3 linked regions of the Daphnia pulex genome follow. The protein of the gene in region 1 purifies or fractionates together with the protein of each later gene. This does not show direct contact. Links are inferred from orthologs where the notes say so. Each region holds a gene or a part of one and is shown in the gene's direction. Other genes may lie near its edges. The genes, in order: enhancer of mRNA-decapping protein 4-like, 5'-3' exoribonuclease 1-like and enhancer of mRNA-decapping protein 3-like.

Region 1 (6,959 bases):
GGAACAAAAAACTTTTTACACTGCTGGTAGACCACCGTGGTACAACTTTTCTGGGCAACATGTTGAACCTTTTGTCATTGGTAAATAATTCCCCTTTCTTAGATGAACATTTTTAATTACCTGCTCATTTTTAATTAAACACAGGAATTTGCGGAGGAAGCGCCTCCGGTAAAACGACCGTTACAAACAAGATAATCGAATCTCTGGGGCATCCGTGGGTGACCCTGCTTAGTATGGATTCATTCTATAAGGTAAAGTCTCCATACTTTCTGTAATTGCAAAACAAAGCTATTGTCATGTTTATCTTTAATTTAGGTGTTAACCGATAAGCAGCATCATCAGGCAGCAATAAACGAGTACAACTTTGACCACCCAGACGCGTTTGATTTTGAATTGTTGCGCAAAACACTGCAACGTTTGAAACATTTCAAGAGTGTCGAAGTCCCTATTTACAATTTTATCACGCATAGTCGGGAAACCAAGACTGTACGCAATTTGACGATAATATGATTTCAGAGTTTTCTTTATTTTCTATCTTCTTGTTATCTAACAGAAAACCATGTATGGTGCCAACGTGATTATCTTCGAGGGAATTTTGACGTTTTACAATCAGGAAATTGTTTCGGTAAATAGATGTGCTTCACACTGACTATTGAAAAGCATTCTGTTTAAAAAGTGGAACCATTTCTTATCAGTTGCTGGACATGAAAGTATTTGTTGACACGGACTCGGATATACGGTTGGCGCGGCGTTTGCGGCGCGACATCTCTCAACGCGGACGCGAGCTAGAGGGAGTCTTGAAACAATACAGTTCATTTGTCAAACCATCGTTCGAGCACTACATTGCACCTCTGATGGCGCACGCTGATATTATCGTTCCTCGTGGTGGTGACAATGAAGTCGCCATCAGTCTTATTGTGCAACACGTTCAGACGCAACTACAATTGGTGTGCACGATATTACTTCTTGGAATTAATACGATTGGTTATTCTAATTATTGTTCTTTATTCCACAGAGAGGTTTCAAGTTAAGGCCCATCTTGGCTACCGCACAAGTGGATCAGCCACTGCCAAACTCTCTTCATATTCTGCCGTTAACCCCGCAAGTCAAGGGTTTACACACTTTCATTCGTAACAAAGAGACTCCTCGTGATGAATTCATCTTCTATTCACGTCGGCTGATTCGATTAACAATAGAGTTTGCTCTGTCTTTACTGCCGTTTAAGGTATAACCTCCCTAATTAAGATACGCATAAATGTTGTTATTAAAGAAATGGATTGTTTCTTTAGGATACCACGGTAGACACACCACAAGGAGTTTCATATCAAGGGAAGCGCATAGCTACTGATAAAATCGTTGGAGTTTCCGTTTTGGTAATTGGTTAAAGCTTAAATAAATACCATAAAATATTTTTAAAAAATACCGTATCTTTAGCGAGCTGGAGAAACTATGGAACAAGCACTTTCTGAAGTATGTAAAGATATTCGTATCGGGAAAATCCTTATCCAGAATAACATCGAAACAGGAGAACCTGAAGTAAATAGCTAATCAATTTATTATTATTACATTACTTAATAACAAGTTCCTTTTTTTTAAATGAATTTTAGCTGTACTATCTTCGACTACCTCGTGACATTAAAGACTATCTAGTCATTTTGATGGATGCAACTGTGGCGACTGGAGCTGCAGCCATGATGGCGATCAGGGTGCTCCTTGATCATGACGTTCCTGAGGAAAATATCCTAGTCGCCTCCTTACTGATGGCCGCTTCAGGTAATCAAAATTGAAAAGAAATCATCTTAATCGATGCTTTATTTTTCTGCTTATAAATAGGTGTACATTCGATTGCCTACGCCTTTCCCAGGGTGAGAATTGTTTCCTCTGCAGTTGACCCAGAAATCAACGAAAAATTCTTTGTCAAGCCTGGTATTGGTAATTTTGGAGACCGATACTTTGGCACAGGTTCGTCGATTTTTATCTATTATTCATAATAAAATTACTCATCTTCTAAATAATTGAATTATCTTCTAAACATTTTTGTTGTTGTTAATTTTCAGAACCCCCTAATGAAATGTAAAGAAGATTTCCTAATTATTTGAAATAGCTGGATTCCCCTAGTGTATTTTTTCTGTCCCCCTATATGATGCAAGAGACCACTCAGTACTTAATTTTCTTTCTCTTATAAAATTGTGATTTAAAAATCTTACAGATTAATATCTGGACCAAACAGTCATAGAAGACTAAATTAAATGTCTTTTCTTATTGTTTCCACTCAGTCAATCTGATGTTTTTTTACACAGAAAAGAACATAAAAATTTTTGCTTTCTCCTATTTTAGTTTATTATACTTACTAACTGATTATTGGCAAACTCGTGAAAAAGAACAATAATACATTTTGTGTTAATGTGTTATAAACGGCCATTTTTCTTCATTTCAATAAAAAAAATTATATTTCAATGAAATGAATTAAATAAAGACATTAAATAGTTTGTTGGGCATAGGCATTTTAGGCAACAACCAACATTTACCGCCGAATCTTGGAAAAACAAAGATAAACGTTTGTTTATCAACATGTTTGTAAGCCGCGGTGCGATCTTCTTTTGTTTTCGGCTCAGCAGTTACGAGTTACGACGAAGCGAAATCAGACACACAGTTTGTTGCACTTGCACACCGGTCGATTTCGTCGGAGTCGTTTGTCTTTATTAGTTCAGTTAGAAAATTTTGTAAAATTCATCTGTATTTTATCGCACGTGGTTGGTTTTTCTCGCTGATTATACACCCGTCGAGAGATTCACCATGAGCTGCAGTTTTAATGGTCAAACGAGCAAAGATGAGGAACTTACCATGTGTGTGACTATTACTTAACAAATTATTGAGAAAGACTTGATTACATAAATATTTTTACAGTATGTTTTCAGAGGCGATGGATTGGCAAAGTGTTGCAACAAAATCATCAGAAGATGTTGTTATTTATCCAGTTAATGGAGGGCACCGTTCTGGTAGCTCACAGATCAAAGTTAAAAATATAGTTGATTCATCATGGGATAAAGCTTTCCACTGGGGAAACCTGGTTGCCACTCATTACAAGGGGCAATATTTTGCATATGCACTGACAGGTTATTAATACCAACAATGTGCAAGTATTTAACTACATTCACTAATTCTGTTTTGGTTGTTTAGTCCCCGGAAAATCAGCTGGCATGGTTCGAGTGATAAGAACTGGGAGCAGTGATAGAATCCTATTAAAGGGATTCCATGGCTTTGTTCGAGACCTGTCTTTTGCGTTCCATGAGAAAAGGATACTTGTGGCTGCTGTCGATGAATATAGTTACCTTCTCGTCCATGAGATCATTGGATCAACTGCTCAATTGATTTTGCAAGTGAATCCCGATGGAATTACTACTGCCACCGACTGCCATCGTGTAGTCTGGTGTCCCTATGTCCCAGAAAATCCCAAAACTCTAGGTTTGTTGTTATTTCTATTAGAATTTGTATTTTGTTATACTAATTTTCTTGTTTGATTTTCTTTCTCACAGATGAATTGAGTGATGGTTTGAGAAATGATGCTGATGATCATGCATTAATGCTTGCAGCGGTACATGATTGCCGTGTGGAAATATGGCATCTGGGTCATATCAATGGAACAGTCACCTACCCCAGTGTGACTACTGGATCCACTCAAATTACCTCATTTGATGATGCTGTTGTTGATGTGGCATTTTCTCCAGATTCAACAGCAATTGCTGTCGCCAGTTTGGATGGCTACGTCAGATTCTTTTTGGTATGTGAAAATTACTTTTAACTAACTAGGCATTTGCTAAATGCTGCAATTTTTATTCTAGGTCAATATTAAAAAGGAAATTCCAAAAATTTTGCACAAGTGGCAACCACATGAAGGAAAAAGACTCTCAGGCATTATTTTCTTGGACAATCTCAGTCATCCAACTATCAGAGAGTAAGTCTATTTTGTTCGGCATTGTTTCTTCCAATCCTCAACGACACTCTTCGATTCGTCTATAGATGTCCGCTGTGGAAGTGGGCAGTCACATCCGCGGAAAACAACACAGAGTTTAAGCTATGGTCCTGTGAATTGTGGAAGTGCCATCAGACGATCCGTTTCAAATCGGATGATTCTATTCCCATTATCCAAAAAATGACACTCGACTTGTCGGCTTCATTCCTTCTTATTTCCGACATTCATCGCAAGGTTATTTATATCCCACCTTTCTTTGATTTACTCAACTCTCATACCAATCTAATTTTGTCAATAGGCTTTGTACGTTATGCACATAGAACAGGAGCCAGAAGAGAGGAATCCGCTCTCTGATGACGGCGAAGTACCTTCCAAATCGGAAGAACGAACCATCTCGAAAGTGAGCAGCATCACTCAACTCCTGTTGCCTTTCTCAGCCATTAGTGTTGCCATCCGGGAAGCTTCAATTAGGCCACCTTCCCAGCCATTGGGTGACGAGGACTTTGATGGAGATGAAAAGGCCAGTAAAGTGATAATGAAGATGTTCGTAGTGCAGCCCAAGTCGCTGCAAAAGTGCAAAGCAGTCTTTGAATTGGGGACTTCGGTCCCACTGGGCGAGGCTATTGGAACCTCCTTCTCCACCATCAACACCACGTCGGAGTATGAACCGGTGAATGTAGTCAAAACAGCATCCGCTACCAACCACATCAACCTGTTGACACCCGACGCGTTCGTCTCTCCAGCCAAAACCAACACGGATTCCTCATCTCAAAAGCAATTGATTGTGACTTCACCAGGCACCGTGAGTCCCTTGCCGCCTGCATCAGGTGAGATCCTGGCCCTTTCAAGCCCACGACGACCGACACCTGAGGTTACCTCATCAACGACGCCGAAGCGGAACGGCATTCCCAGTGGGGGTAGCAGCCCCAGTCGCGAAGTAGAAGAAATCCTGGGAACAAGACCTATGACGGAAGGCTCGATCGAGTCACCCGATACCTCTTCCGCCACCGTGCCTACAGGTCCAGCCCTTCAAGACGCCTTATCGGCCTATCCCATTTCGTTATCGCCGGCTATGGGTCGCTCAGCCTCGGTCAACAGCAAAGGACCATCCCCCATCATGGATAAAGTAGGGCGTATTTCGATCATTTGCCGATCATTTGCCATTTGTAATTACTATTTGCACACCTCATTTAAAATCTAGTATAACGCACCAACTGTTGAGGATCCGCTATGCACTTACCCTACTTCCGCTGTTGCAGCTCCTACTCCTTCCTCCGTATCTGCGGATTTAAACGGCAGTTTGCTGGAATTATTTAAAGAAGCCCTTGTCGTTGAAGTAGCTTTCGCTTTATTCTATTGATTATTGGGTTATATGTTGGTGTCTAATATTTGAACACACCCCGACACACATCCAGGCTTTGCCAGCGCAAGCAGCGTGGCCGTCCGTTCTTCCGCCACTCAACGTTCAACAACTACAACGGCCCAAAGAGCCGCCAGTGCGCGAAACGGATGCCGGAAATTCTGCTCAGATGCAAATGATGCAACAGACACTGGACCAATTGGTTCAGCTCGTCTCTGCTCAACGCGCAGAACAACAACAACTGAAGAGCGAGATTGGTCAGTTGAAGGCGGAAATGACTCGGATGCACTCACCGGAACCCATCCAGCCTCCATGGATCGCTCAGATGGAATCCACTTTGGCCGTTTATTTCGATCGCCAGACTAAAAAGTTGGACGAAGTTAATTCTCCGGCAAAAACCCAACAAGTATTTGACTATTGAAATCAGTTAATTATTTCTTGTTGATGTATTTTTCTATTATTATTATTATTTTCTAGTCCGTGTCGAAACTTCAGTCGACGATCCGATCCGAATTCGAGAACAAGGCGCATACACTGGAGCAACGAAGTGTTGATTTTATCCGCAAGGAATTGCAATCGGTCATTGCGACGGAGATGAATAAACTGGAACCGTTTTTGAAAAACTCTACGATGCAAATGATGAGCCATTTGTCGCAGAACAAGTCCATCATCGATGCGTACAGCCAAGCTACTTCGACGGCGGCCGTGTCGGCCATGAATCGCGGCTGCAAGGATGCCATCACGTCACAGCTGCTTCCGTCGCTGGAAGTCTCGTTCCAGACACTCTTCGCCCAGCTGCACAACACTTTTTCCAAGGGGATCACCGAGTGTGAGCATTCATTTAGAAATGACTATTCAGAAAGGATTTGCGTCACTCGTCACTTCAATATGAATAACGTTACCTTACCAGTCGTACGAAACATCGAGAGCAACCTGGAACGACACCGCAGGCTGCAAGACAAGGAATCGGCCGTTCAACTCAACGCCACCATGGATAAGATTGCCGTCGTTTTGGACCAAGTCCGGCAGTCGATTTCGTCCGATACCAAGACGGAATTGAAGAAAATCTCTCACGAGTAAGATCTAATCTATCCAAATTCTAACCTAATTAGAATTTCTATTGAAATGTTCGTTGTTTAATTCAGATTTCCGGAGAGGGTTCGTGTACTTTTGACTCCTGTGATCCAGTCCGAGATGCAACACGCCATCAAGGATCAGAAAGCGGCTCTGGACGGTGCCATGTTGGCAGTTCACGTAATTCTCTCACCCTATTTACCATTTTTTTATTTTTTATTTCGTCGTTAATCTCATTATCTATTCCCTTCCAGCAAGCCGCCCAAATTCAATCGCGCGCTGTGACGCCAGCGGTGGTGGAGCTGACGCCAGCCGAGCATCAAATCCAATTGAAACACATGATTGACCAAGGACGATTATTCGAAGCTTTCCAGAGGGTAACCGAGTTCTTTGTTTCATGCGGTAATTTTTCATGAATATTCATTTGTTTTAATGATTCAGGCGCTCTACATGAACGACTTGAGTATGGTAACGTTCGTTTGCTCAAAAGTCGATGCCGGTAAACTCTTCGCCTCGGATCCTTGCGTCTTCCCACCACAAATCCTTTTGGCG
Region 2 (7,062 bases), on another chromosome or scaffold:
ACCCCCTTTAGACGTCATTCCGTCTCCTCCTATGCCTGTGAAGCAAAAAAAAAACAAACGAGAAAAAAAACGAACAAATTTACACTAAAGTTCTAAATCGAATCATTTCAAATTATTTTGGCTTGAAGGAGAAAATAATAATAAAAAAATAGAAAGATAGAAGGCGATTTACAATGCCCAAAAAACAATTTTATTTTTCGACTTCACGAAGAAAAGGGGAAGAAATAATAAATTCTACGAAAAAAAAAATCAAATAATAGTGGGGGAAGAAGAAACAACTTTCTGGATAATCTCTATCGATGTCAGACTTTTATCAGAACGAAAACTCAAATCTTATCTCTTTCACACACACAATCACACACCCACTCACTCTCCGATCCCACACCACACCCACACTCGAAAGAAGAAAAAAAGATGATGATGGGAAATTATTATTTAAAAGAAAAAGTAGGAAGAATGAACCCCCCTTTTTTGTTTCATTTGTTTGCCCCCCTTGTTCTTTTATTGATTTATTTGTTTTTTTTTTTTTTGTTTTTTTTTTACGATGAATATCCCTGACCTGGGCCACGGAGCACTCCGGTGTAGGGAATAGCTGGCGGTCCTCTGGACGGACCCGGCGGTCCCATTCCGTGACTGTGTGGCGGAGTGTGATGCTGTTGGTGCTGGTGGCCGTACTGCTGCTGCTGTTGCTGCTGCTGCTGGGCGTGGTGATGGTGATGATGGTGGTGCTGTTGCTGCTGCTGCTGAGCGTGATGGTGATGCTGTTGCTGATGGTGGTGCTGCTGATGATGATGCTGCTGTTGCTGATGGTGGGCATGGTGTTGATGGTGGGCAGGAGGCTGCTGATAGGTCGTGTAGCGCGAAGAAATGTCCGTCTTGGGTGCGGCGTTGCTTACGTGCACCGACGTACCTGCTCGGGAGCGAAGTCGAGAAAGACATTCAAGCACGGTCGTCTCGGACTCGAGTCGACATCCAAAGCACATCTACTACCTTTGATGATATGATCCTCTCCGCAGAGCGACTGGGCCACTTCGGGATCCAGGAAGGTGACAAACGAAAACGCCCGGAATGGCTTGGGAATAAACACGTCCGTCACTTCGCCAAATTTGCAGAAATAGTCGCGCAGGTCGTCCGCCGTGATGTCCTCCGTGCACCGGCCGACGAATACTTTGCACGGGACCTGCGGGGTGCCACCCTGTTTTAATGAAGGGACAAAGTCAGTCAGATTTCGTCCGGAATTGAATTAAAGGCGAGAATGAGATCTCACCGCTTTCGAGTTGGGAATTTTCACGTCACACCATCGGCCGTCGATAAGGTGCCGCTGAGAAAGGACGCGGACTTGAGAATCGTAATTGGCGAATCGTATGAAGCCGAAACCTTTGCTCTGGCCAGTTTTTGCATCCTTCTTGACCTGTCAACATGTAAACATTGGGTAAGAGAGTGAACTCTTTTTGTTTACAGGAGTGGTCTTGAATCGTACCTGTGCCATCAAAAGTTCACCAAAGTTTTCAAAATACACCCTCAAGTCCTGCTCGGATGTTTTCCATGGCAATCCAAGCACAATGAGGTCAGAGCACTTGAGCCTCATTTCCATCCGTTTGGTTTTGGCTGTGGAGTTTTCTGGATGGTCATCTGACTTTCGTTTGTTTTCTGTTTTGAAATGCACACAAGAAACCGTCTTAGTCTAGTTGAAAAACCAAACAAAGTTTGACATGCATCATTACCTTTGGGGAAAACACATATGTAGACGTGGTTCCCCCAGCCATCCTCTGGCGGCTGGAACCTTCCTTCTAGAAGTCTGACACCTCTCATTGAGCGAGATTCTGGGGCTCTGTACTTGAGGCCCGAAACACCTGGAAATTGGGCAGCCAAGGTGCTGAGCAATAGCGCACTGTCATCCTCAGTGGGTAATTCTATGGGCTCCTCAGTCTCATCCTCAGCAACTTGAATGTAGCTGCAGCTCATTTTCGGGCGACTAAATAAACTGACGAGATACTCACGACTTTTACAACAACCAATCGTACGGGCATATGATCATCGCAAACGGGGAATGAATGCTATCGTTTCCATCGACGCCGACTCTAGCTGTACACAACTGGGACCAGGAAGGAGGGGGGGGGGGAGAGAAGAAGCCGATTTTTTTTTTACACTCGGAAAGAAACACACACACAACACTCTCAATTCCACACTTTGCACACCCTCTAATTACAAAACCTGACTCTAGAGTTCATCACATTCAACCATTTACAGCCAGATTCTCTCTCAGGCATCAAACTTTTGCACGGCCAACCCAACACATCCATCCATTCCATACGAAAGTTAAGGTAAAGCAGTCGACGCCATTCTGGATTTTTTTCCCTTCCCCAACCCCCTAGGACCCGGAACAAAAACGTCACAGCCAAAACTCATTGTCACTATGTTATTATTTTGACATTTGAAGACATTGTCGCTGCTGGAAGGCTGAGCTTAGCATAAATATTCCGATTATTTCAAACTCACTGCCAATTCCTATCGGATCATCCCATTTTTAATATCAAAATAGAAGAAACGATTGTAAATAAAGTCGAGGGTCATTCTCATTTGCTGATGCAGCGCAATAGATTTTAGAAAATGACATTTTACATTCTTGATGCGTTTTCAATTTCACTGCAAAATTCGGAATATCTTCTAATCAAAGAACTTTTTTTTTATTATTTTATCTAACGGTAAAATAAAAAAGAAGAGCTTAAAAAATAAACAAATAAATAACCGGTCGGAATCCTATGAGAAAATGTTGCAATGTCGCTTTTGGCTGGTTTTGCATTGTCTCGGTGTTTGTATGGTTGTATGCTAAATAAAAGCTCATATCGTAGGCTCGTAGCTCATCACTTATAGCCGCCGTAAAACTCACTACGAGAACTTGTCCGAGATATATAAAGTTATAAAGATTGCATTGTGTTGATTGACATATTAATTTCTCAGTCGTTTCTTACAAATTTGCAATATGGGTGTCCCCAAGTTTTACCGGTGGATCAGCGAACGCTATCCTTGCCTAAGTGAAACAGTAAAAGAATATCAGGTATGCTTAAGATTTAAATTAGCAATATAAATGTGTTGTATTTCATAAATTTCTGAATGATTAGATACCTGAATTTGACAATTTATACCTGGACATGAATGGAATTATTCACAACTGCTCCCACCCCAACGACGAAGATGTTCACTTCAGAATCTCTGAAGAAAAAATTGTTTCTGACATATTTCACTATTTGGAGGTAAGTTACTGACAGTAGTTTTGTGTGACAACCTGTTAAACTTTATTTTCATGCAGGTCCTGTTTCGCCTCATTAGACCCCAAAAGGTCTTCTTCATGGCAATTGATGGAGTTGCCCCTCGTGCCAAAATGAACCAGCAGCGTGGTAGAAGGTTCCGCTCAGCTAAGGAAGCTGAGGATAAAGAAAAAGAAGCTCTGAGAAAGGTATATAAATTGATCAATCATCTATGAACAATGTTTTAACAAGTTGATCTAATTTAGGGTGAGGTTTTGCCAGAAGAGAAAAGATTTGACTCCAATTGCATCACTCCTGGAACTGAATTCATGGACAATCTGCAAAAACAGTTGCAATTTTTTGTCACCAATAAAGTATCTACTGATCCTCTGTGGCAAAATACGCAAGTCATTTTGTCTGGACATCAGGTAATTTAGTCAACCATTTACACAACATGAAATCTTGCTCAACTCACTTTTCACAGGTTCCTGGAGAAGGTGAGCACAAGATTATGGAGTTTATTCGATTTCAAAGAAGTCAACCAGACTACAACGCCGAGACTCGTCACTGTCTTTATGGGTTAGATGCTGATCTCATGATGTTGGGTTTGTGCTCTCACGAACCATATTTCTCCTTGCTCCGTGAAGAAGTACGAAGGTCTGCTTTTTGTTTTAAAACGAGTCGAGAACTAATTTTTTGTTGTTGCACCGAAATAGGTTAGATTTGGTGGAAAGAAAAATGAAAAGAGGATTACGACTCCTGAGGAGACTACATTTCATTTACTGCATTTGTCACTATTCCGTGAATATTTGGATCTTGAATTTGCCTCTGTGAAGCCTAAATTGAAATTTCCCTACGACTTGGAGCATATTATTGATGACTGGGTAAGCTATAGTTTAAACCCATTTAAAAAAATTCACGCATAATTTAAGTGAAATTTTCCTTGTAGGTCTTGATGGGATTTTTGGTTGGAAACGATTTCATTCCTAATCTTCCACATTTCCATATCAACAAAGGCGCATTACCGCTACTCTACTCGGCTTACATGGAAGTTCTACCCACTCTGGATGGGTATATTAACGAGAACGGTCAGCTGAACTTGCCACGGTTCGAAAAGTTTATGGAACGTCTAGCGCTCATAGACTACGAAAATTTTAATGACACCTTCGCTGATGTCAAATGGCTGGAGAGTCGACACGGTCGCAAGAAACTAGTCGAGGTAGCCGCATCTTAGATTAATTTTAGCATCTTCGATTGCATTCCTTTTTTCTATTTTTAGTACGAGTTTGAAAAAAAACCGCCTACTGTACGACCCTCTGATACTGCCAGCTTTTTGCTTGCCAAGGCTGCTGAAGTTGACGATCTCTTGAGAGAAGATAGCGCCGATTCTGATGAGATTGTTGTTGACAAGCTTGTCGACGCCTCAGCTTGTATCACGGAAAGCGGAGAAGAAACGGAACCTGATATTGACGAGGAAACCAATGATGAGGAAGGAGAAAGTTACGTTTCCGACGATGACGAGTACACGTCGGCCGACGAAGACAAGCAATTTCAGCTGGAATTCAAAGCCCACAAGAGGAATTATTACATGGAAAAAATGGAATACAGCGAAGTCGACAGGTAAATTGTATTTCTTTAAATGTCGAATAACAATGTTGACATTAAATTGACAACTAATTTTTTTTTAGTGATGTCCTTCGGGATCAAGCCGAGGGTTACGTTCTTGCCATTCAATGGATCCTTCACTATTATTATAATGGTGTGTGCTCGTGGTCTTGGTACTACCCACATCATTATGCTCCCTACGTTTCTGATGTCCGTAATTTCGCCAACCTCAAGTTGAAATATGATCTCGGCCAGCCTTTCCTGCCCTACGAGCAGCTGTTGGGAGTACTACCTGCAGCCAGCAAAGCCCTGTTACCGGTTGCTCATCACAGTTTGATGTCCTCCATCGACAGTCCGATTATCGATTATTACCCGTCTAATTTTAGTGTAAATATTTTGGCGCAAATGGGTTGAACAGTAATTTTGCATTAATCATTTATTTTTTTATTGCAGACGGACAAGAATGGGAAACAACAAGAGTGGGAGGCTGTAGTGCTGATTCCTTTTATCGACGAGAAGCGACTTATATCGGCCATGAAAGATTGCGAGTCGCGATTATCAGACCAAGAGAAAAATCGCAATCGGCACGGCCCCATGCAAGTCTATGTGTTTTGTGAAGAGGATCTTGGTAAGTTTAAATTATCGTTCTGAGTAGGGATAATCACTAATTGGTAAAATTGTATTTGCAGGAGAGTGTGTTGCACCTGCTTACTTTCCTACTATCCCTCACAATCACTGCCGATGCAAGGAGATAACCAGAGACGCATTCGTCATCTCATCCGATCAACTTGTGAAGGGTCTTCACCCTAACTATAATCCCGATCGATACATTCCCGGGTTCCCCTCGATGAGAAATCTACCGTATACGGTAACATTGATTGACAATCTTTTAATATTCAAGTACATGTTTATAAAAGTGTATATCCATTTAGGCAAGTTTGAAGAAGTCTTCCATCTGTGTGTTCAACATGAACACCCTCAATGAGTCGCAGGTTTTGTCGCTGGTCCAAGAAACGGTGCCTGATATCAACGACATCGGGAATCGCTATTGCGGGCAGACTGTCTTCGTCAGTTGGCCTCACTTGCAGGAAGCTCGGGTTGTGGCTGTTGCCAATACAGAGTGCAAATACAGCTTCGAAATTGAATCGTTTGGTGAAGGTGGTAGCGTCACCTACAAATTGGATGGAGAAATTCGCAAAATGCCAATGTTGCCGCGAGACGTGGACGACTGGCGCTTGCAAGAAAAGGAAATTCGTACGCGGTGAGTCTGACTGGTGTCATTTGCTGGTGTGCAAATTTGCTTAATGCCGCTTTCGCAATTATAGATATGCCAATCGATGGGGTGTTGACATCGGGACTACGCCTATTTTAGTTTACGCCGCACCAATTACCGGGCGAAAATATGTTTACACTCAAAACGGGCGTGTTACTTTGGAGAAGCAATGGAGCCCTATCCCAGTCCCTTACGCCTTCCAGGCCACTGTCAAAGAACTGCAAGTCAAGGAGACGGTTTGCCACCAGTTTTCGACTCTCGCTGAAGTCTTCTCACAGAACTCGGCCTGTTTCATGTTAGGCCATCCTGGCTACGGTCTACAGGGCAAAGTTTTATCAGCTGACAAGAACCTCAAAGGAAAAATCCGCATTGAATTTGACAACATTCACGAACCAGAAGTCGAAGAAGTTAAGAAACGATCCTCACAGGCCCATTACATGCCTGGCTATGCTGGAGCCAAGCGGCTCGGTATCAGCACGCATTTAATTTCACGAATCACTGGGACCATCTATCTTCTTTTAAGTCCGACCGAAGAGGAGAAAAACTCGGACAGGCCTCGCAGACCAAAGAAAGTCAACGTCGGTCTATCCTTAAAGTTCAACAAGTCAAAGGAAGAGATCCCTGGTTGGTCCAAGAAGGTTGACAGCGGCTGGCTTTACTCGGCGAATACAATCAAAGTCCTGGACCGCTACATCAACGAGTTCCCCGACTTCTTTGATTTCTTGTCGCAGCACTCGGGTTCGGATGATTTTACCGATCAGCAAGTGTTTGGTGAAGACGGAGTTGAACGAGCCTCCAAGCTTCACGAGTTTGTCCAGACACTTCCGTGTATAAATGCTGAACGAAGGGTAATTCTTGGTTCACTGACTACTGTTTATTTCGTTTTGTCACAAAATATTTACTTTAATTTATCATTTCAGGCTTGGGGATCGGAAG
Region 3 (6,180 bases), about 6.6 Mb from region 1:
AGCTGAAAGGGCTTCAACCTCTCGTTGAATCATCTTGGCGAACGATCGAGCCTCGCCGTTATCTTTCCAATGCGACGACGGTTGACAACAACAGCTCCGGTTGAGGCGATCACATTGCTCAATCGGACTTGCAGAAGATCAATTTCATTCAGAATTTTAGAAAAGATGAGGTAGAAGGATTCTTTTCAGGAACACACAAAGTTCGGCTTCTTGCGATATCGATTTTTCGATGACGACCTGCTGGCTCTTAATTCCACTGGGAGGAACAGCCTGTTTGGTTTTGGCTTCCTGCAAACTAATCTCCAATTCCTGAATCTTTTTCTGTAGTCCCAGCATCCGCTATAGATCTTCCAACTGAGAAACTCTTTCTTTTGAATCCAAAAGTTCCACTCTCCGGTTGATTGATTTGTGAAGGCAGTGAAACGGGAACTGGCACATAAATAGGTGATGCATAGATATTTGAATAGCTTGTGATTGTTGACGATGTGACCGAATATCCCGATGGAACATATTGGCGTTCTAAGAGAAAAATTAAATGTTATGAAACATAACAGAACTATGTGCCAAGAGCAGTAAACGAGAAACGAATGGACTATTTACAAAATTAAGAAGAAATCATGTTTTTATCCATTTAGCTATCAAGTGAAATAATCATTATAGGATAGGTTTACAACTAGGCAGTTAAAAATAGAAAAAGAATACCAAAATGTTCACCAAGTGAAAATTCCAGTTCATTCACGGTTAGATTTGCTACAGAGAGTACATTACGGAAATTAGACTATTAAGTGAATGAAAAAGGAAGTCGGCTTTCGAAATTGTTAAATACGTGTGGGAAACTGGGATCTTGACCATAATAAGGTTGGCTATGCAAATATAACAAACCAGTTTTAATTTCTCTACCAGGAGCATCTGATTGCCCACTTGGGTTTTACAAACAGACAGGGAAGGGGCGACCATGCTATCCTTTTAAGTGTGGTGTGAGCTAGGATTTCTCTTTCGACATGGGAACAAACCCCAAAACAATCCATCCAGCAACAAGTGGAAAAGCATGTTTTTCAGAAAGGGTTTTTTTACCAAATTATACTATGCCATCTTAAATATCACAGGAGTAAATATAAATGTTAGTCAAAATGCAACTACCTTGCAAACAGAATTTCCTTGGTTTTGGAAGACAGCTTGAATTCGGCTTGAATTGGACCATTTTATCACTGTCACAAGCACCTAGATCACATGAACCATGAAGCCTTCAGCTGAAGATATTATCTGAAAATATTCAGTCAAGAATGAAATAAGAATCGAAATAGTGTGTTATCAAGTAAACCATTCAAATCTATCCAACCCAACGTTAAAAATGAAGACAAAAAATATCGCATGATCGATGTAAACTCTTCTTTACAGCCATTCAAGATCTTTATAAAGTTCGTCAAAAGGTGTCATAGTAAAAATGCAATACCAGACAGACAGATACTCTAAAAATTATACACGTAAAATATAACAGATTACCATATCCCTAAGAATAACAATTATCGTCGGAATTGTTGTCACAACACTACGCCAGGCGCCGGCCATTTTGAATGATTTGAAGCACTAAAATTTAGGGCGCGGAGGCAATGTTGCATGATGAATTTGAACAAATCGTCCAATAAGAATTCTTCATCGTTAGTCCGTTTACTCCGTTACCACCTCTTCATTTTTGAAAGTTAAATGACAATTCTTATTCAGTAAACGAAATATTCCATTGTTTCGAAATCCGCGGTCAAAAAGTCCAAAGTTCCTGCAAGGGCCAGGGCAGTTGTTATACTATTAATTTATATTACCATACCGTCCGTCACTCAAGTTGACAACGAATTTTTATCCATACCTGCACGGCCTTTCCTTAACTCAAGTAAATTTAGCGTAAAACAAAGGGATGACTTGAAGGGAACTTTGTCGCTCGGCATCCATTGAACAAATGTACAGACAGTTATGTACTTCATGCAAATGTCCTGGTTTAAAAACAGTTGCGTCACCTAGTGGCAAAACAACTTTTCTCATTTAAATAAAGGTAACCTTTAATAGTCTCAAGCTCACTTTAATAAACCGATAACTAATTTAACTTGCTTATTTTTTACGCATCATTGACATTGTGATATATATGTCCGTCTGCCACAAAAATTTCGCTCTTGAAATCGGATGAGTTTCCTTTTTTACTGTGCAACACCAACAGAAATAGCTGCTATGTGGCATTGTGGCTATGTCTTACTTATCAATTGGGTATTGGGAATAGGAAACCCTTCGCACAATTAGACTAATAACCAAATAAACGGTAAACAAAGAGAGAGACAATCAGACAAAGAGTTTGCCCAGTTAAGTTCAATTCACTATGTTAGATCGTTCACCTGTGGATGCTCACCTCGTGAGCAGACGAATAGAAAACATTTGGCCCACAAACGACTCATTTGAGTGAGAGTGACTTCGTTTTAACGGCTTTTATCTCCAAACATTTTAACCACCTGTTTTCTATATTACAAAAGTTACAATATGAGTGGAAAGTATTTAGGCTCATATGTGACAGTCGACTGTGGAGAGTTATTCGGTTGTTATCAAGGGCAAGTAAGTAATGTGGATACCCTTAACCAAACACTTACTTTGAAAGATGTTTGGAAGAATGGTTTAAAATCATCTATTGATGATGTAACATTGCTGGCTAAAGACATTCTTAGTCTAGCCATCATTCCTTCACCTAAGGATGACAAAATTGGGAATAGAGCAGAAGTTGAGCATTTAGAATCTCAGCGGAATAAAAACAAAACCAGTGCCAGAGACTCTCCCCGTAAGTTTGATGGTTATGGAAGTTCTTCTTCTCAGCCTGCCCCTCCAGACACACCAAACAAGCTAAATAAAATGAAAGGAAGAGTTGGAAAAGATGATGTTTGCTTCGGAACTGATGTCAACATGGAAAAGGATTTTGACTTTGAAACCAATTTGGCACTCTTTGATAAGAAAACAGTAATGGGAGAGATACAGTCAGGAAAACAACAAGGTCCTCCTCTTGGTCCTGGAGCCAGAACAGTGTCCAATTTTAGACACGATGAAAACATTCTGGAAACCCTACCCCCCACATACCGCCAAATTCACCTTCCATCACCATCAACAAAGGAATTCCTTACTGGTACATTACATTAGTGCATTTCTTAATTTCTTATTTCACTAAATTATTAATTTTACAGATACAGGATTAGTTGTACCCAGTGCAAGTCCTGAACTGAGAAAAGCAATGCAAGATTCCATGGAAAAACTAGGCATTAGTGTTGAAAGGAGATCAGAATCGATAGCTCGAGCAGTTGCCGAAGTTGCTCTTCACTTTGTTGGTGGTCCTCACCGCTTGACACCTAAAAATTCTCATCAAAAACCAGTTGTCGTAGTTTTATGTGGTAACCATCCAGAAGCTGCTGGTGCTGTTTGTGCTGCTCGTCATTTAGCCACTCTAGGAGTTCAGACGGTCGTCTACTTACAAACTTTGACTGTATCCCACTATTTGAAGAAAGAAATTGAACTATACAAACTCACGGGTCAATCAGTCATCAACAACGAAAAAAGTAATACATTTGTTGCTATTTTAATTAAGCGATTGTAATTTACTTGATTTCTTAACAGACTTGCCATCTGCCTCGGTTGATTTGATCGTTGCTTCTTTGCTTCCTCCAAGCTGGGGAGGTGGCGACGAAATCTCGAAGATGAAAGGAATCATCGAGTGGGCAAACAAGCAGCGCGCTCCCACAATGGCAATCGATCAACCTCCATCTGCTGTTATTAATGCTACGCCTTGGTTGGATGTTAAATGTACTTTGTCGGCCGACTTACCATTAGCATACGGCGATCGCGATGGAAAATTGTACCTTTACTCACTTTCTACACCTCGCAAGATTTTCCAATCATTAGGCATAGAGTACGATTCACCTTTTGGCTCCAAGTTTGTTATAACTCTGCACGAGTCTTGCTGAGAATCTACACCACCATTCTATGTATACGATTAATACGAAAGCGTCTGTATTTACATGAATTTCGGTAATAAAGACAACAAATTTTCTATAAAACATATACTGAGACTATGACTTCTTCCAAGACTTCCCCTTATTCTTGTTCTTGGCACTTCCTTTCATACCTGTTCGTTTTCCTGATTTCACTTCATTTTCTTTGGCTTGAGTGTTAGTTGCTTCACTTATGTGGACATGTTCAAATTCGTCTCCACTGTTGATTTGATCCATATTTACATCTTCAAAGTCCCCTGAATCGCTATAATCAAGGAGCAAGTTTTATTTGAAATTAGTTTTCTTCTATATTTTCACAAAAGTTTTGGTTTACCTTGGAGGTGGTGCATCATCAGGAAAAAGCTGAAGAAAACCCTGCGTTAAATGAGCGTTTCCTTTGAGCAGAGGAAGAATAGCATTTTTTATGTCGTTTATGTTGGGTGACGCACTGCTTTCCACTTGCTGAAGGGTCTTCAGAGTTCGCTTGAGTTGTGAAGGGCTATCTTTGAAATGAATCTGTAATTGAAAAAAAAAACATGGTCGGATTCATAAAGTTAGAACCAAGAAAGACATTTACCTTCAGTTTTGAGAAAAATTCGCGCATTCGGACGTACAAAAAATGTTGGAACTGTACTCCACATTGAGCAGCTGCCTCTGGACTTAAAAAGAGAACGAACTCTTCCAACAAATCCATGTTATCTTTCAAAATAGTCTCGATTTTTCTGTACAACTCCAAGAATGAACCAGAACTAGATTGAAATTGGCCCAAAGTAGTAAAGAATTCTTTAAACGCCACGGGATTTGATTGTTCCAACCGACTTCGAACTTTCATGAAATAAATTTGGGCATATGCTAACAATAATAAAATTTAAAAAATATTGATTATTATAATAATCATCAGTAAACAAAATTTAAGCAGTACCATCGCTGCGTGGCTGCACTGGGTCATCATCGGCCATCCAAGAGTCAAGTATCCGCTTAGCATTGCGCTGATGTCGAATATGGCGATGAGCAGGGCTCCTCCCTTTTGGAACAGAATTGGTAGCCAATGGAATTGTCGTCAAGAAATCAAGTGAAATAGAGTCTTCTTCTTCGTCGTCGTCTTCCATGACTAAATTTTCATCGACATGATTGCTGCTTAATGGACTCGAAGGAGGTTTATCCCCATCGTCTCCTCCGCTGTTGCCAGCACTTGTTCCTGATGCACCAGATCCAGATGGACAAAAAATGCCACTGCCACCCTCAGCACCTGAAGAAGATGACTTTTGATTTCCCTGGACAAGTACAAAAAAAGGCGATTAAAATTGTATGGCAACTAGTGTTAAAGCAAGAAATACTATACTTGTGATGATGGGTTTGTTTCTCCAGAAGGATTATTTGCTTCGCGATCAGCAGCTGTTCGAATAGGAATGGTAGTTTGTTCTGTTATACTTGAAGGGCCCCAAACATGCATGACATGAGTCATGTTTGAATCTGGACGGTGGATTAGGACGTAGCGCTTGGCTCCTTGATTTGAAGTTTGACAAGCTCGATTTCTTTCGTCATGAGGGCTCGAAGCCCCAAGCGGCAGTTCAGATTCACATTCAAAATCGGTATCGATGACATCTAGTTGATTGAAACATACACTTGATACACCTGTAGGTTCAGGTGATTTTGTCAAATTTTCATTATTCATATTTTCTTCAGCAGATGCTTTCCCTTCAGAAGTACTATCTGTTTCAGCGAGGTCAACCTGAAGTTGGAGTGAAGAAAGATAAAAGCGTTAGACAAGAAGAAACGAGGAAGTACATCAATATTTTTAACGAAGGGAGTAGTCCGGATGATGAGGATTGTTATAAAATATTTAAAAAACATACCCCCTCTGAAATCGAAGTAACTTTCATTGGGGTTGGGTCCATTTCTGAAGAAGCATTATTCTCCTCCGAGTCCGTTTCCTGAATTCAGAATGCAAAAATAAATACATTCATGGCATTTCAAAAAATTTGTTTGTGCTATAAAAAAAAACTTCATTTTACCTGATCGACAACAAGAATCATTATATCATTACTTGAATTTGTTCCCTCAGGCGCTTGATTCTCTTTTTGATTTGGATATTCATTATTTAGAGAATCTTCGAATACCTATTATTGGGTTTAAAATGAAAGAATTATGTGTATGGTTGAAAGTATTC

Evidence for each region.
Region 2: the proteins of enhancer of mRNA-decapping protein 4-like (region 1) and 5'-3' exoribonuclease 1-like purify together in Homo sapiens (co-immunoprecipitation; 4 studies listed by BioGRID and IntAct, with this or other methods). This does not show direct contact. The link is inferred for Daphnia pulex from reciprocal best matches to the Homo sapiens genes EDC4 and XRN1.
Region 3: the proteins of enhancer of mRNA-decapping protein 4-like (region 1) and enhancer of mRNA-decapping protein 3-like purify together in Homo sapiens (affinity purification with mass spectrometry; 6 studies listed by BioGRID and IntAct, with this or other methods). This does not show direct contact. The link is inferred for Daphnia pulex from reciprocal best matches to the Homo sapiens genes EDC4 and EDC3.

What each region holds. Positions count from the first base shown.
Region 1 is NC_060018.1:11,849,112-11,856,070, forward strand, and holds the start of enhancer of mRNA-decapping protein 4-like, read left to right. Parts: upstream 1-2,619; 5' UTR 2,620-2,796; coding exon 2,797-2,846; intron 2,847-2,907; coding exon 2,908-3,116; intron 3,117-3,180; coding exon 3,181-3,465; intron 3,466-3,536; coding exon 3,537-3,781; intron 3,782-3,842; coding exon 3,843-3,955; intron 3,956-4,020; coding exon 4,021-4,207; intron 4,208-4,271; coding exon 4,272-5,099; intron 5,100-5,174; coding exon 5,175-5,309; intron 5,310-5,388; coding exon 5,389-5,739; intron 5,740-5,810; coding exon 5,811-6,409; intron 6,410-6,478; coding exon 6,479-6,587; intron 6,588-6,661; coding exon 6,662-6,784; intron 6,785-6,848; coding exon 6,849-6,959. Other genes in the region: uridine-cytidine kinase-like 1, read left to right, coding at 1-80, 145-251, 316-486, 554-625, 696-947, 1,016-1,225, 1,290-1,373, 1,435-1,536 and 3 more. UniProt on the Homo sapiens protein: In the process of mRNA degradation, seems to play a role in mRNA decapping. Component of a complex containing DCP2 and DCP1A which functions in decapping of ARE-containing mRNAs. Promotes complex formation between DCP1A and DCP2.
Region 2 is NC_060026.1:2,430,162-2,437,223, reverse strand, and holds the start of 5'-3' exoribonuclease 1-like, read left to right. Parts: upstream 1-2,777; 5' UTR 2,778-2,983; coding exon 2,984-3,058; intron 3,059-3,122; coding exon 3,123-3,254; intron 3,255-3,310; coding exon 3,311-3,457; intron 3,458-3,514; coding exon 3,515-3,676; intron 3,677-3,732; coding exon 3,733-3,897; intron 3,898-3,964; coding exon 3,965-4,132; intron 4,133-4,197; coding exon 4,198-4,467; intron 4,468-4,527; coding exon 4,528-4,868; intron 4,869-4,936; coding exon 4,937-5,240; intron 5,241-5,306; coding exon 5,307-5,481; intron 5,482-5,542; coding exon 5,543-5,721; intron 5,722-5,785; coding exon 5,786-6,114; intron 6,115-6,178; coding exon 6,179-6,974; intron 6,975-7,046; coding exon 7,047-7,062. Other genes in the region: uncharacterized RNA-binding protein C660.15-like, read right to left, coding at 1-35, 560-913, 991-1,195, 1,268-1,411, 1,481-1,650, 1,725-1,965. UniProt on the Homo sapiens protein: Major 5'-3' exoribonuclease involved in mRNA decay. Required for the 5'-3'-processing of the G4 tetraplex-containing DNA and RNA substrates. The kinetic of hydrolysis is faster for G4 RNA tetraplex than for G4 DNA tetraplex and monomeric RNA tetraplex.
Region 3 is NC_060018.1:5,241,505-5,247,684, forward strand, and holds enhancer of mRNA-decapping protein 3-like, read left to right. Parts: upstream 1-2,324; 5' UTR 2,325-2,520; coding exon 2,521-3,151; intron 3,152-3,209; coding exon 3,210-3,578; intron 3,579-3,636; coding exon 3,637-3,983; 3' UTR 3,984-4,076; downstream 4,077-6,180. Other genes in the region: uncharacterized protein LOC124210599, read right to left, coding at 4,089-4,275, 4,345-4,526, 4,588-4,862, 4,933-5,284, 5,353-5,742, 5,867-5,944, 6,026-6,130. UniProt on the Homo sapiens protein: Binds single-stranded RNA. Involved in the process of mRNA degradation and in the positive regulation of mRNA decapping. May play a role in spermiogenesis and oogenesis.